Linked DNA regions of Diceros bicornis minor. The protein of the gene in region 2 interacts with the protein of the main gene of each other region in a biochemical or structural test. Links are inferred from orthologs where the notes say so. Each region holds a gene or a part of one and is shown on either strand. Other genes may lie near its edges.

What was found. The genes of interacting proteins can lie anywhere in the genome.
Region 1: the proteins of EZR (region 2) and ICAM3 form a complex in vitro, tested with the Homo sapiens proteins (2 studies listed by BioGRID). The link is inferred for Diceros bicornis minor from reciprocal best matches to the Homo sapiens genes EZR and ICAM3.

The regions. Positions count from the first base shown.
Region 1 is NC_080769.1:8,854,647-8,862,893, forward strand, and holds the start of ICAM3 (intercellular adhesion molecule 3), read left to right. Parts: upstream 1-4,922; 5' UTR 4,923-5,192; coding exon 5,193-5,271; intron 5,272-5,861; coding exon 5,862-6,125; intron 6,126-8,247. UniProt on the Homo sapiens protein: ICAM proteins are ligands for the leukocyte adhesion protein LFA-1 (integrin alpha-L/beta-2). ICAM3 is also a ligand for integrin alpha-D/beta-2. In association with integrin alpha-L/beta-2, contributes to apoptotic neutrophil phagocytosis by macrophages.
Region 2 is NC_080778.1:10,869,342-10,877,227, reverse strand, and holds the start of EZR (ezrin), read right to left. Parts: upstream 3,233-7,886; 5' UTR 3,136-3,232; intron 1,942-3,135; 5' UTR 1,866-1,941; coding exon 1,854-1,865; intron 1-1,853. UniProt on the Homo sapiens protein: Probably involved in connections of major cytoskeletal structures to the plasma membrane. In epithelial cells, required for the formation of microvilli and membrane ruffles on the apical pole. Along with PLEKHG6, required for normal macropinocytosis.

The DNA of each region.
Region 1 (8,247 bases), on a different chromosome or scaffold from region 2:
ACGGGCTATGTGTTAGCCATGTTGTGAAAGGCACGGGCTATGTGTTAGCCGTGTTGTGAAAGGCAGTTAAATAATTTCCTTTTTCATAAGCCTTCTCGAAATCTTGCTCATTGCCAGCTCTCCTGACCAGACAGTTCCACACTATTCTAGTGACATTTGCTTTTTATAACAGTTTTCAAAATTAAATATTCATTATAATTATAAATCTTTGTTTTGTTTTGTTTTGTTTTTTGCTGAGGAAGATTGGCCCTGGGCTAACATCTGTCCCCATCTTCGTCTACTTTATATGTGGACGCCTGCCACAGCATGGCTCGATAAGCGGTGTGTGGGTCTGTGCCCAGGATCCGAACCTGCAAACACCAGGCCACTGAAGCAGAGCACATGAGGTTAACCACTATGCCACCAGGCCGGCCTCAATCCTCCTCTTTTTTTGCTTGAGGAAGATTAGCCCTGAGCTAACGTCTGTACCAATCTTCCTCTATTTTGTATATGGGACGCCACCACAACATGGCTGACAAGTAGGTCTGGCCCCGGGATCCAAACCCCAGAACCCAGGCCGCCGAAGCAGAGGGTACTGAACTTAACCACTAGGCCACGAGGCTGGCCCATGGATACATATTATTGACTTAGGCAGTGAAAGTCTCTCGCTGTGCATCAGCCACTACTGTCGCCTCTGGTTTCCTGTTTTTGTTTCCAGAGACATTTTACCCAGATAAAAGGAAATCTGTACACATTATACTTTCCCATCTTTTGCAAAAATAGTAACATGTCCTACTATATAGAGCTCTCATCTATATCCTTGTGATTTATTTTTTCCATGTAATAGGTCTTGGAGATGGTCCCACATATCCAGGCAAACAGTTTTCTTGTTCTATTTTATGATTTCATTGTAGTCATCGCTGACGTGTTATCTGCCTTTATTCCCCGCTGGGGTTCCTGTTGTCATTTCTAATCCTTTGCCAGGCCCAGGATGGTGCTGTAGTGAGTAACCACATGCGGACATCATTTCACCCACGTTCAAGGGTATCTGTAGGACAAATTCTTAACAGGAGGGGCCGGCCCTGTGGCTTAGAGGTTAAGTGCGTGCGCTCCGCTGCTGGCGGCCCAGGTTCGGATCCTGGGTGCGCACCGACGCGCCGCTTCTCCGGCCATGCTGAGGCCGCGTCCCACATACAGCAACTAGAAGGATGTGCAGCTATGACATGCAACTATCTACTGGGGCTTTGGGGGAAAAAAAAAAAAGGAGGAGGATTGGCAATAGATGTTAGCTCAGAGCCGGTCTTCCTCAGCAAAAAGAGGAGGATTAGCACGGATGTTAGCTCAGGGCTGATCTTCCTCATAAAAAAAAAAAAATTCTCAATGGGAATGGCATTTAGGATCTTGTCTGGTAACCGGGAAAATACACTGCCCCTAGAATATGTTTTGATATTTGATAAGGCAGTTCTCTCTCTCTCTCTTTTTTTTCCCCAAAGTTATCTTGGCTTACCCTTGTGCAGCTACTTTTTATTTATTTATTTATTTATTTTGTGAGGAAGATCAGCCGTGAGCTAACATCCATGCTAATCCTCCTCTTTTTGCTGAGGAAGACTGGCCTGGGCTAACATCTATTGCCAATCCTCCTCCTTTTTCTCCCTTTTTCCTCTCTAAAGCCCCAGTAGATAGTTGTATGTCATAGCTGCACATCCTTCTAGTTGCTGTATGTGGGACGTGGCCTCAGCATGGCCGGAGAAGCGGTGCGTTGGTGCGCGCCCGGGATCCGAACCCGGGCCGCTAGCAGCGGAGCGCGCGCACTTAACCGCTAAGCCATGGGGCCGGCCTCAATTACGGACAATTTAAAGCATATACAAAAGAAGGGAAAATAATGTAATGAACCTGTGCTTACCCAACAGGCGGCATCAAGTTTGCAACACCCGTGGCCAGTCTTGTTTCAACTCTCCCCCACCCCCGCCCCGCCACGAGGTCATTTTGAAGCAAATCTCAGATATATCATTTTGTCAAAACTTCCATCAGTATCTCGAAAAGATGTAACCACAAACAGTAACTACAAAATCATGACCGCCCACAGAAAGTTGAATGATAATTCCTCAACATCATCGTGCAGCCTCAGTTTCAATTTCCCCAATTGTCTCTTAAATATTTGGTGTGTGTTTGTTTAGAGTTTGTTCAAAGAAATATCCAGGTCCGGCCTGTGGCTTAGCGGTTAAGTGCGCGTGCTCTGCTACTGGCGGCCCGGGTTCGGATCCCGGGCGTGCACCGACGCACCGCTTCTCCAGCCATGCTGAGGCGGCGTCCCACATACAGCAACTAGAAGGATGTGCAACTATGACATACAACTATCTACTGGGGCTTTGGGGAAAAAAAAGGAGGAGGATTGGCAATAGATGTTAGCTCAGGGCCAGTCTTCCTCAGCAAAAAGAGGAGGATTGGCATGGATGTTAGCTCACGGCTGATCTTCCTCACAAAAAAAAAAAAAGAAAGAAATATCCAGACGATCCACGCACTGCATTTGGCGGAGGGCGGGTTCCTTTAAGTTCTGGATTCGTCTTCCTCTTTTTTTTCCTCCTTGCAACATCCTTGTTGAAGAAACTAGGTTGTTTGTTCCATAGACTTTTCCGCTGTGGCGTCATCTTTGTGGTCGACTTGAATGCATTCCTCTGTCCTCACCTTGACCCACCAATGGTCAAGTTCAATTTCCATTTTTTGGCAAGACTCACAGAGGGCACTGTGCCCTCTCCGCAGGAGACACTCAGGGTCAGCTTGTCCCTCCTGTTGTGACATGAACAGCCACCCAGATCCATCAGGGATGCATTTTATTTTCCAACATTTTACTCTGAAAAATTGCCAACATATAGAAAAGTTGGGAGAATAGTACAGCAAACATCTCTAAATTCCACCATCACCCAGTTGCTAAATTTACCTTATTATGCGGTATCTGTCATTTCTCTGCCATCCATCAATCCATCTCATATTTTGGATACAAATCAAAATAGGTGGATGTCATTTTTTTCCTGTGGTGAAATATACATAATATACATTTTACCATTTTGACTATTTTTAAGTGTATGATTCAGTGGCATTAAAAACATTCACAATGTGTGTAATCAATACTATTATTTACAGAACTTTTTCATCTTCCCAAACAAAAATTTGTCCCCACTGGACACTAACTTCTCATTCCCCTCTCCTCTCAGCCCCTGGTAACAACTGTCTACTTTCTCTAGGAATTTGCTATTCTAGTGTCTTCATTTGAGTAGAATATTTGTCCTTTTGTGTCTGGCTTATTTCGCTGAGCATGATGTTCTCAAGGTTCATCCATGTTGTAGCACGTGTCAGAATTTCATTTCTTTTTAAGGGTGAATGGATGGACCACTTTTTTTCTGTTGTTTTTTTTTTTGACAGCAGCCATCCTAATAGGTGTGAAGAGCGATCTCACGTGGTCTTAATTTGCATTTTCCTAATGGCTATGTTACCGCACAAAATTGGGGTCCTCTTGCCCGAAGCACATCAAGAGGCAATTACTGAGGCATCAGCTTTGGGAAAAAGACACCAGCTTTATTGCTAGGTTGATCTGCAAGGAGACAGGGGCCTGTGTTCTCAGATCTGTCTCCCCAATCCAGGGCTTGGGGCACAATTCATGGGATGAAGGGCGGGGCTGTCTGAAGCGCAGAGATAGATGGTTGGAGGAGAGCAGAGGTGAGGTAACTGATGATCTGCGCAAGCGCGGTCAAGCTCCGTGGCTCTTCATGTTCACAAAATAGTGGCGGTAGCATGATCTGAGCGTGGAGTTTTCAGCCCTTGGACGTCAAAAGGGTCACCTATGGGTCATCCTTGCAAGCCCAGTTGATGAGCTGGTGGTCTTCACCAGCCTGAACTGCACAAGGGGTCTCAGGTCCTGAAAAACCACTCTCAATTACTCTTGATGAGATGGGGTCAGTTGAACTGGTCCTGGAGGGCCTGTGGTTACAGCTAGTGAGGTTGAGCATCTTTTCGTGTGTTTATTGGCCATTTGTACAGCTTCCTTGGAGACATGTCTATTCGAGTCCTTTGTTCGTTTTTGAATCGGGTTGTTTTGTTGTTATTGACTTGTAAGAATTTCTTTATAATCTGGATATAAGCCTTTATCAGATATATTATTTACAAATACTTTGGATTTGGGTTTTAGTTGCTCTCTCAGCACCGTGCAGGAAATGGACTGGGGGGCCAGGCAGTTGACTGGAGGGGGGAGGTGCCCCAGGTGAGGCAGGAGGGGGCGTGGCCTCAGGGATGGGGAGAGTGGATGAACGCCGGGTGTTATCGACGCCCTCCACAAGGTCCCTCTCTGGAGCTCAGATCAGAGGCACAGGAGGCGGGTCAGAGGCCTGAGAGATGGAAGTGGGAGTGCCCACCTGACCCCCCAGTCCCTTCTCTTGGGATGAAAGGACCAGCTGCCCAGAGGGGAAGGCAAGGGAGGATGAGACAGGGGACAGGGCCAGTTACAAGTAGCATCCTTGACAGACAGTGGTTCAGATTTCAGCTGTCTCCCTGCCTCAGCACTGCACACGGGGCATGGGCGGCCCCAAGATCTTCAAAGGGAAAGGGCCTACAGGAGCCACTCAGGTGGTCAACACAGAGCTGGGCACCCAGTAAATGTGGGCGCTGTTCATTTTCATGGCTTCCCTCATCTTACGGGTCCCTCATTATCATCCCCAGATCTCTTAATTGCCCCCCAGGAATGTTGAGATCTCATGCTAACCCCTTGAGGCCCTACCTAGAAGTCCCTTCATTTCCCCCTGAAATGTTGCCTTGAAATCTCATCTTATCACCTCCAGGACAGTGCTTGGAGGTCCCCCATAAGTTCAGCTGGAAGGAGGTGTCTCATCTCCCTCCACGGCCCCCCCAGGCTTCGTAGTTCTGAGAACAAAGGAAGTTGATTGTGTTCCACTTCCTGTGAGTTCATTTCTGGACCAGCAGTGTAACTGACGTCTGCCCTGCCAGAGACTCACCAGCACCCTCCACCTTGCTGGGCCCTACCTAGGTCCCCCACTCTGGACCCCCGGGGTCACAGAGTATCCCCCTGCCCCTCCCCAGGCCTGAGCAAGGGGCAGCCCCTGGACTTCTGCAATCCTCACCACTGTGGCTGCACTTCCGTCCCCTGGGCGGCTCCGCCTGTTCCCTGCTGCCAGACGCCTTCCTCCCGCAGGCTGGCTACTGTGATGCCCTCAGGGCGACTGCCTGGGGCCTGCTGGATGTCGCTCGTCTTCCTGCTTCTCATCGGCTGTCTGCTGCCCGCAGGTGAGGAGAGTCAAGCTGGGGAAGGCTGGAGTCGGGAGGTCAGTAGAGAGAGGGTAAGAGAACAGAGAAAGCAAAGCTCTCCACTTCCTGTGCCCTGGCCATCTCGAGGACTTCCTGAAACTCAGATCCGACAGGGGCTCGAGAGAAAGTTGTGTCTCCTTAACGCAGCCTCCAGGGCTCCCCGAGGCGCCATCCCTGCATGTAACTTGTTCCCTACCCCCAACACACACACACACACACACACACTCTCCCAGCTCCATGTAGCCCCTCGATGTGTGCCTATGCTCTTCCCTCTGCCAAGACCTTGCTTCCCTTTCATTTAGCTAACGCCTACTTATCCTTCAAAACTGGCCATGGTCGTCCCCTCCTCCAGGAAGCCTTCCCTGACTCACTCCCTCCTGTAGTTTGGATCAGGGTTTCCTTGGCCTTCCTCCAAACTCTCCCCAGTTCCTGATCCATCATCCGTCTTCCCCACTAGACTAACGCACCCTGAAGGCGGGGACCATTATACCTGGGCATGAGGTGGGACCTGAGGATGGGGGGTTGGGGGGCACCAGAACAATCACGAGAGTTTCTGTCTCTTCCCGCAGGTGTCCATGGGCAGTACTCACTGCGATTTGAGCCCCAGGACCTAGTGGTACCTGATGGAGGGTCCATCTCGGTAAACTGTAGTACAGATTGTCCCCATCCTCAATCCTTCCATCTGGAGACCTTCTTACCCAAGAAGTCGCTGGGTCAGGGCTCGCGCTGGGCAGCCTTCCAGCTCAGCAATGTAACCAATGACAGCCAGATCCTCTGCTCCAGCTTCTGCTACAGCTTCCAGCTGTCAACCTCTTCTAACATCACAGTGTACCGTGAGTGGACGTGCCTGGAGGGAGGAATGGCCTTGGGTGGTGGCGGGGGGGTGGGTAGATGGCCAGTGGTGCAGGGGGAGCAGAGGCCTGGAGTTTGCAGGAATGGACCAGGGCTCTGACCCAGAGCCTGGACCTGGATATGTGTGTGTGTGTGTGACAGACAGAGGTAGAGACAGAGACACAGAGAGATACACCTCAACTGTATGTCAGGCCAGCAGCTGTGACATCAATTTATTTGGGTCCTAGCAAGCATTTTTAAAATGACATCTCTTGGGCCGGCCCTGTGGCTTAGTGGTTAAGTGCGCGCGCTCCGCTACTGGCGGCCCGGGCTCGGATCCCGGGCGCGCACCGACGCACCGCTTCTCCGGCCGTGCTGAGGCCGCGTCCCACATACAGCAACTAGAAGGATGTGCAGCTATGACATACAACTATCTGCTGGTGCTTTGGGGGAAAAAAAAGGAGGAGGATTGGCAATAGATGTTAGCTCAGAGCCGGTCTTCCTCAGCAAAAAGAGGAGGATTAGCATGGATGTTAGCTCAGGGCTGATCTCCCTCACACACACACACACAAAAATGACATCTCGCATCTTCTAGTTATTACTTTTACTTTTATGGCAGGTAATCAATTCATGTGGTTCCAAAATCAAAACAGCATAAAAAGCTGTAAATTTCAAGCCTCCATTTGTATAGCGCTGGCTGCCAGCAGCTGCTGTTTTATTTTTCTTCGTGAGGAAGATTAGCCCTGAGCTAACATCTGCCAATCCTCCCCGTCTATTCTTGAGGAACACTGACCCTGGGCTAAACCATCCATGCCCATCTTCCTCCCCTTCATACAGGAGGCCGCCTCAGCGTGGCCTAACAAGCTGTGCGTCGGTGCACGCCCGGGATCCGAACCCCGGCTGCCAGCAGCGGAGCGAGTGCACTTAACTGCTACGCCATGGGGCTGGCCCCTGTGGCTACTGTTTTAAATGTTGACTTATTCACTCCTTACAACAGCCCCGGGGTGGGGAGGTTCTCTTATGAGCCTCATTGCAGATATGGAGACCGAGGCTCGGGGGGTCAAGTCACGTGCCAGCGCTCACAGCCCACGAGCAGAGCAGCTGGCAGTCTGGTTCGCAAATCCCTGTCTGTAACAGGCTAGGTCTTCCTCTCCAGACTCTGCGTCCCCCTGTTACTGGTTTCTTATGGATCCTTCCAGACTTCCTCTGCATTTAAAAGAATACAACAGGGCCGCCCCGTGGCTTAGCGGTTAGGTGCGCGCGCTCCGCTGCTGGCGGCCCGGGTTCGGAACCCCGGGCGCGCACCGACGCACCACTTCTCCCGCCATGCTGAGGCCGCGTCCCACATACAGCAACTAGAAGGATGTGCAGCTGTGACACAACTATCTACTGGGGCTTTGGGGGAAAAAGAAGAGGAGGATTGGCAATAGATGTTAGCTCAGAGCTGGTCTTCCTCAGCAAAAAGAGGAGGATTAGCACGGATGTTAGCTCAGGGCTGAGCTTCCTCACACACACACACAAAAAAAACACATTAAAAGAATACAATAGACTAGGAAATAGCAGAGAACACGGTGCCTACTGTTTTGGGAAGCCTTGAGATTAAGTGTAGTGTACGTGTGTAATCGCGTAGGCTCCTGTGTGTGCGCTGGTATATTTGTGCTTGTGTACTTACGTGTGTGTCCGCGAGTGTATGTGTCTGTGTGAGTGTACGTGTGTCTGTATATGTGTTGTGTCTGTATGTTTGTGTGTGCCTGTGTTTGTATCTGTGAATGCCTATGAACTTATGTGTGTGTCTGTGTGAGTTACTGTGTCAATATCTGTGTCTGTGTATGAGCATATGTGGATGTCTGTGTCAGTACGTGTCTATGTATGTCTTTGTATCCGTGTGTATTTCTTTGTAACGTGTACATCTGCCTGTGTGTACCTGCGTGTCTATGTGTGTGTCTGTGTGTCCCTGTCTCTGCGTGTCTGAGATGCCTCTGTCTGTGCTCTGCGGGAGCCTGTTGGTCCTGGCTCATAAGACCCCACTGTGCTTATCTATTCCCAACTCCGTGTCACACTGGGTAGCTTGAAATCCGCCAGAGTGGGAGTATTTCCATGGGAGAAATTGGCAGATGCTCCAGG
Region 2 (7,886 bases):
GACACACTACGTACAACATGGATGAACCTTGAGGACATCAGGCTAAGCTAAATGCACCAGTCACAAAAGAACACATACTGTGTGACTCCACTCATATGAGATAACTAGAGTAGTCAAATTCATAGAGACAGAAAGTAGAAGGGTGGTGGCCAGGGGTTAGGGGGAAGGAGAAATGAGGAGTTAGTGTTTAATGTGGACAGAGTTTCAGTTTGGGTAAGTTCTGGAGATGGATGGTGGTGACACTTGCACAACAATGTGAATGTACTTAGTGCCACTGAACTGTACAGTTAAAAATAGTTAAGATGGCAAATTGAATGTTACGTATATTTTACTACAATAAAAAAAGGAAACCAGAAAAAGAAAAGAAATTACAGTTCATCATGAGAAATGAGAGAGAAAAGTACTGACTGGAAACTGGTTTATTAACTCTTTTCTTCTAAGTGATACGCTAAAATCTGAACTCTGCATCTTTTCGTGAAATAAAGAAAACCACACCAGGAAATGGTAATCTCTTGACCACTGCTCTGCATAACTGCTCAGGGCTGTGCCCCAAGTAAGCGGCTGTATTTAGGTCAGTTTTATATCATAGGGATTGTAAAGCCCGGATGTCACGGACCGATTGCAAGTTCGAAACTAAAAGAATTTTGTGTAGGAAAAAAAATTTTCTGCATCACGAATGAATCATCTTGATGAAATAATTTAGGCAAAAACTATACTAGCTTCTCAATCTTTTAGTATATTAACATAGTAATTTACTTACTTAAACAACAAAATAAGACTTTATTAATAAAGAACTCATTTTAGAGAATCTAACATTTAACGGTAGAAAAGCACATACAGCATCCACTACAGAACCAATCTGTTTCAAAAACTATTCCATATGTATCTTTTATTGCAATTTTTAATGAACCCAGACATTTTCTCCACCGTGATTCAAAACTCGATTAAAATTTAAACCCTCCTCCCCAGTATCTGGTCACCAGTTTACCTGCGTTAAAGCAGGCAGAATATATACTACTTCCTAAGAAACGCCCGTCACAAAGAACCTGCCTCGGTCCCATAACTTAAGCGAAAGCCTAACACCCCAGGCCTGGCTAGCCAACTCGCAGAGAACGCAACAAAATCAGATTCCGGGGCACAGAGGTGCGGGCACGGCAGCCCTGACATCAGCTGATGTTTATGACATTTACCAGGAGTGCAAGACCAGAGAGGGCCCAGGGAGCCTCCTTATCAAACTCCGGGGCTGCCTGCCCTCATCTGCAATTCAAGTCCATTACTAAACTCTTTCAGATAGGAATCCTGCTGCCACCAGCAAATTCCGGGCGAACAGAGCACAGCTCCACAGGCTGCGCCGGCGTGCAATGCACTGGAACGGGGCTGCCCGCCAGAAAGACAGCGTCTCCTCTGCCAGATGCCCTTGGGGGCGCCAAAAGAAGATTTGGGGTGCATCTGGCTCCGGACTCGGAGGGACTCGGAGTTGGTGTGCGCCGTCGGACGTCACTCAACTCTCCTGCGATTTAGACAACTTTTCTTTCTAAGCAACTTCCAAGTTGCATTAGAATACACTTTGAAACAGACTGAAGCGGTGTAAAAGGGGATTCTAACTTGTATAAAAGACCGTAACTCCTGGGGGGCGGAGCTCGCAAACAAAAAGACTGTAGAGAAAAGCATCAAAATCGTGTTTTCTTCAGGAGGTCCCTAAAAGGACCAACACACAACAAAGAGGAGAGACAATTCCCTACTCCTGCCCTCTTATCCGTTTAAAAAACCCTGCCCCAACACCTCGCCCAGGTGCCTCCAATTGAAAATACAGCTCGAAGCCTCCGCCCCAGCCCAGAAACTGGGTTACTTACTGGTTTCGGCATTTTCGGTTCCTGATGGGTTTTCCTCAATCCCCTGGAAACACTACTCTCGAGCAGCAGCTGAGACGGTTCTCCCGACCTGGAGGCAGAGGGAAGCCCTTTAGAGCGCGCAGCAGCCCTCCTCCCGCGCCCGCCGCCGCGCCCCGAGACTCGCCGCCCGCCCCGCGCCGCTGCTTAAGAACCCGCCGGGCGGGCGCCGGGATGAGTCACCGCCCAACCTGCAATTACCGCAGGCCGGGCGGGCGGGCCCTGCGGGGAGGGGGCGGGGGCGGGGGCCCGGGGGGGGAGGGGGGGAGGGGGAGGGGGCGGCGGGGAGAGACCCGGTGAGGAGGGGGCTGGACCTGGCCAGCACGGGGCTCGGGGTCCCGGGGGGAGGGACCCAGCCGGAGGGGGCGCGGGGTCCCGGGGTCCCGGGGGGAGGGGGCCGGCCGGAGGGGGCCCGGGAACCCGGGGGGATGGACCCAGCCGGAGGGGACCTGGGGGGAGGGAGCCGGTGGGGAGGGTTGCGCGCGCGCGCGCGCATAGGGATGTAGGGCCCGGGCGGGGGGCCTCGGCGCCAGGAAGGGGGCTTGGCGGGGAGGGTGCCGGGGCGGGCGGCGCGGATCCCGGCGGGGAGGGGTCGGGGGACCCGGGCGCCGGGGCGGGGGCCGGCTCCCGGACTGGGAAGCGGCGGGGCGGGGGTCCCCAGAGGTACTTCTCGGGGCTTCCCGGAAGCCAGCGGGGAGCCCAGCAAACAGCAAGTTTCACTTTGTGAAGCAACCGTTTGCCCCAGGGCTGAAACCGCAACCGTCAAGCCTTTGAGAAACACTTGAAGAAAACCGGCCCCGCCCGGGAAGGGCCGAGGACCGCGGGGCCAAGCGAAGCACGAGGGCGCGGGCAGGGGCGCGGCCACGCAGCCCAGGCTCCGCTGGCACTTTGGAAGGGGGACTCCAGGGCACAGAGTGGAAAGAGGAAGGTCGCGGAGCAGCGGGGGCGGCCACACCAGCAGGTTCAGCTTCACCTGCTGTTTCTTTGGGCCGAACGGGAGAGCCATGCCCGGAGGGCCAGGCGAGGACCCCACCGGCCCGAGACCCCGAACGCGGCCGGCGGAGGGGCGAGCCCGATTCCCCTCGGGGACCGCCGGCCCGGGGCTTGCGCGCGGGCCGCCCCTCCGCCAGACCGGCCCCGCCACACCTGTCGTCGAGTCCCGGCCACTGTCCCCTCTGCGGGGCGCGCCCCCCCAACCCCGGCCCGACCCCTCCGCCCGCCAACCCCGGCCACGCGCCGGGCTCACCGGCGGCGCCTGCAGAGGACGGCTGCTCTCCCGCTGTCGGCGTGTCCGCGCAGTGCGCCCGCGGCCCGCGCTCCCAAGAGTCCCCGGCGGGGCGGGGTCCCGGGGCCGCGCCCCTAACCGCCCCGCCCGACCTGCGAGGTGCGCCCGGCGCGCAAAATGGCTGCGGCCGCTGGCCGCCCAGGGGCTCTCCCGCCTCCCACCCGCCCCGCCGGGCGCCCCCCGCCCCGCCCAGGAGGGCGCCCCTGAGGGCCTTGGAGACCCGGGCGGGGGCGTCCTCCGCCTCCCTCCCGCCCCGCCGTCTCTCTCCATCGTGAAGACCCTTCCCTCTTCTCTGCCTGTTCCCTTGCCCTTGGAGAAAAACTTTGCCGAATTTGGTTCAACTCCTGATTGCAGATGTAAGACGTCAGATTATTTGCCCCACAGTGGACAGAGAGAAAGCAAGAAAATGTAAATAAACCTGGAGGAGCAGGCGGCCAGAGGGGAGATGCTGGGCCATTTTGGGGTGGGGCTGCTCCCCGTGGTCAGGTCATTTGCTTGTCCTTGCGCCGCGACCGGGGCGGGTTCTGAGAACCCCGGGCCTGGGGCGGCCGTACCTGGCCTCTGCGTCTCGGCGCACGTGGCCGGCCGGCCTCCGCGTTCGGATTGGGTCGAGAAGGACACAAGCCTAGAAGACGCTCCATCGCCGAACGCTCTGGTTAAAGGACACAGCTGTGGCCTCCTTTGACTTGACTAGCACAAAGCTATAGCAGAAATCGCCATAGGGAGAAATTCTAGGAATTGTTTTTAATATTTTTTGCAAATGGATCTCAAGAGGAATTTTAAAAAACACACAAAACACATGGACTTTGGTGGCCAGGCGCATTTGTGGCGCAGTGATTCGGTGAGCCAGCTCCAGAGCGGTGGTTCTCTAAGCGTGCTTCGCACACTAGCATCGTGAGCATCACCTGAGAACTGGCGGAAATGGAAATTCAAGGGGACCGCCCCAAACCTAGGGCTCAGAATCTGTAGGGCTGGGGCCCAGCAGTCTATCTTCAAGCCCTCCAGGGGATTGTGATGTAGGCTAAGGGTTGAGACCAGAGCTTCTCCGGAATTCCTTTCCTGGGCTGGCCACTAACTCCCCATGTGAGTTGAGCGCGTTATTAACTCCTTTGTGCTTTCGTTTTCACATCTGTAAAATGGCATAATTATGGCACCTATTTCCTAGGGTTGTTATGAGGATTAGAGGAATTAATGCATGTGAGATGCCTAGAGCAGAGCCTGGCACACAGTAAGCACTTGAATCTCTCCTGGTACAGACAGTAACCAGTGACTTTGGGCAAAGACCCAAACTCTCCAAGACTCACCTTCCCAATTCGTAGACTGGAGATACTAGTAGCCCCCCGACATGGACTTGTATGGATTAAGTGAGATAATGTGTGCAAAGTGCTTAGCAGAATGTGGGCCTCCCACTAATGCCTAACCTGTCACGGGGGCAGACTGCTTCTGGGGTACCCCTTGTCAGCTTGTACCTGTCACCCTCTCCCAGCTGCAGGACCAGGGCATTTTAGAGGTCCAGGTGAAGAGGGAGGCCTTTTCTGAGATTTTGTCCTGTATTCCAACAGCAAGTCTGTTCCCTCTGAAAGACTTTCTTTTCTATTAAAATGAAGATGTAAAGTTAACTGCAGGAGGAAGGAAACTATGAAAGATATTTAAATAACCTGCAGTGATAATGGTTCAGACTGGACATGTTACCCCAGCCTGCTCTATCTCCGCCTCTTATCACTGCCTGGAGACTTGTTAGTCATTTCTGGTCCCCAACTCTGCTGATAGGATGTGCCTCTAACATAATTGTTTATCTCACCCACTTTACGGTATATTGTCTTCTAAATTGGGTGTTTTGAAATAGCAGTGGCCCAAGACCTGGAGCATTTGTGAACTTTACCCTTCAGGGGAATGGTGAAAAGGAATTGGCCTGCGGCAGTGTGGTAAAATGAAAAGACCACAAGTTTCAGAAACGAACAGAGCTGAGTCTGAATTCTGGTTCCAGCATCTACAAGCCCCTCACTTTGGGCCAGTCTCTTCATCTGAGCTCCTGCCTCTTCAGCCGTAGACTGGAGATAATAATGTATGGAGTTCTTGTGTCACTGAGTCATATAATGGGAGCGTTTAACTTACTCAAATTTGATTTATAGGTATACTTTTGTTGTTTAAGTTAAAATAGCATAAAGTCATAAGCCTTCCCCATTTGCTTTACATTACTGTAAGCCTTATGCATTATATTTACATGTTACTGTACAGGGTTCCCCAACCCAAAAATAAAACCTTTGTACTGTATCTTAGGAGTGTTTTCAGGGCATTTTCCAAGGGTAATTTATTTTCACCTGACTTGAGAACCTAAACTTCTCCCCAGCCCTCCCCACCCCCAGCACACACACAGAAGACTGAACTCCAAGGAACCTATGAGAATTGCTTAGGACAGTGGTACTGAAGCCTTGGTGTGCATTAGACTCACTCATGGAGCCCGCTCTAGGAATCATGGGTCCTTAAGTCTCAGGTTAACCCTGGGATCTGCGTCTTTAACAAATCCCCAGGTGAGTCTGACTTACACCAAAATCTGAGAACCACTGACTTAGGGTGTGGCAGGATCCTGACAAATATGACTTAATTTGCCTCTCCCTTCACTTCTTATGTGTGAAGTTATTCCCCTGCAGGGTTTCAGTTTTTCAGCTAGAGGAGGGAAATTGTATGTCTGCCATGAGCCTGGCAAAGGCTGTTGGGAAATTGCTTGAAGTTTTTCAGGCAAGGGTACACTAAAGTGAGGCAGCCCTCACAGTCCCTTTAGATACGGCGGCAAGGACCAGAGCTGTCGCACAGAACATCCGCTTCCTATCAGATCAGCTGGAGCCTGTCTCCACGCTGGTGCCAGGTTAATCTCAACCAATAAATAAAAGTTCACAAAGAGTATGACAAGCTCTAGCCTCAGTCACTTCAAAAGTACAGTCAGTAGGCAATAGGGAAAAATATAGAACACTCTCGGCAAAACAAGAATTTGGGTTATTTTTCAGGACTCACTAACTTTGGGTGGAAATTCAGGACAGTGACTATCTGGAGGACGGGGAGAATGATGCCTCCATGGGGGCCTCGTCAGCGGTAGTAATGTTTTATTAAGCTGAGTGGTGGCCCACGGTGCCCTTTATAGCATCCTTTGTACGTTTTTGTGGGTCTGAAATATTTTATAATACGTATTTTAGAGGTAACACTGGGTAAGCTTTTCACTGGCAGAGATGATTGTTAAAGAGAACTAAGCATTTAGTGTAATCTTATAAAGTTCCATGAACTCAATCTGGAAATCTCTGGTATGATTTAACATTCCTTTCTGACCTCTGGGGGGGTGACCAGTCCCTGCAGTGTGGGTGACAGAGCACGGGAATGAATAAGGACTCGCACAGCCTGACCGGCAGCCACTCTGTCTTGTGTCCAGAATTAACTTTTAAGGGTCTTCACAGGACGATAAGGTAGAAAAGCATTCTGATACTATTTTGATGGTACATCTTATATACCTTTGGTCCTCTGAGAAGAATTCCGGCCACTAGGTGTTCTATTTTCATTGTTTCCTTGGCTTATCTAATAATTTGTATAAATAGCCGTAATAGTTTTTGTGTAAAAGAGTACTAATGACCGCAGAACTTGTTTGATTAATAAACTCCCAAATAGCATAGCTTCTTTTATTAGAATTTTTCTTATCCCTAATCGTTTTAGGAGTTTTTTTGAAAATTTTTTTGCCGGCTTAAAAGCATGTGGTATGATGAAGTAGAGGATGGGGCCTTAAACATCATCTTTTCCCATACCCTCCTTTTGCAGAGGAAACAGCTCCACAGAGATTAAATTAGTTGTCGGCACCCCTGCACCCAGACTTCTCTTGTCAAGATAGTGGAGACTTCCATCTTGCTAAATCCGGAAGCTGACCTTCTCTGCCTCATCTTACCCTTCTCCTAAGCAGCCTTGGACACATGTAACACTCCCTGGGAACATTCTGTTCTTAGAGTTTCTGTTTTCTCCCCTCTCCCCCAATCCTGCTTCCTCCTCCGAGGCTAGCTCTCCTCCCCCAACCCTCACTGCAGGCTTAGCTCAGAGCTCATTCCTGGGTGCTTATCTGTGTACACTCTCTTCCTAGGTCATCTCATCCAATCCCAAGTCTTAAATAACATCTCCAGCCGTGACCTCTCTTGAGCAACAAGTGCATACATGTTGTCTCCAGGATTCTTGATGTTTCGAAAACTGCTCCCCTCCCAGCCTTCCCCTTCTCAGAAAACAGAACCACCATTCACCCTGTTGCTTGGCCCCAAACCTAGAAGTCAACCTGAATTCCCCTCTTTCCCTTGACCGCACTCCATCCTCCAACCCTTGTGCGTCCAATCCAGCAGACCTAACAGGCCCAGTTCGGAATATATCAGACTATGTCTGCCCCACCCCCCCTCCCGCCAGCAGGTCTGAGTTTTTGTTCTGTGCCTCAGGGATCTCATACTGGATGTTCCCTCTGCCTGGAATGCACTTCCCCCATCTCTGCTACCTGGCCTTTTCTAGTCTTCCAGGTTTTTGCCCAAATACCACCTCCTCTGAGAGCACTTCCTGCCTCCCAGGTTACTCCTGGCCAGGTCACATGATTTTACTGTGGTGGAGCTCTTAGCACTGCCTGCTATAGTCTTGCTGTTTGCGATTTTATTTTCCACCTCCCCCACAAGAATTGAAGCTCCTGTCTGTCTTGTTCACTT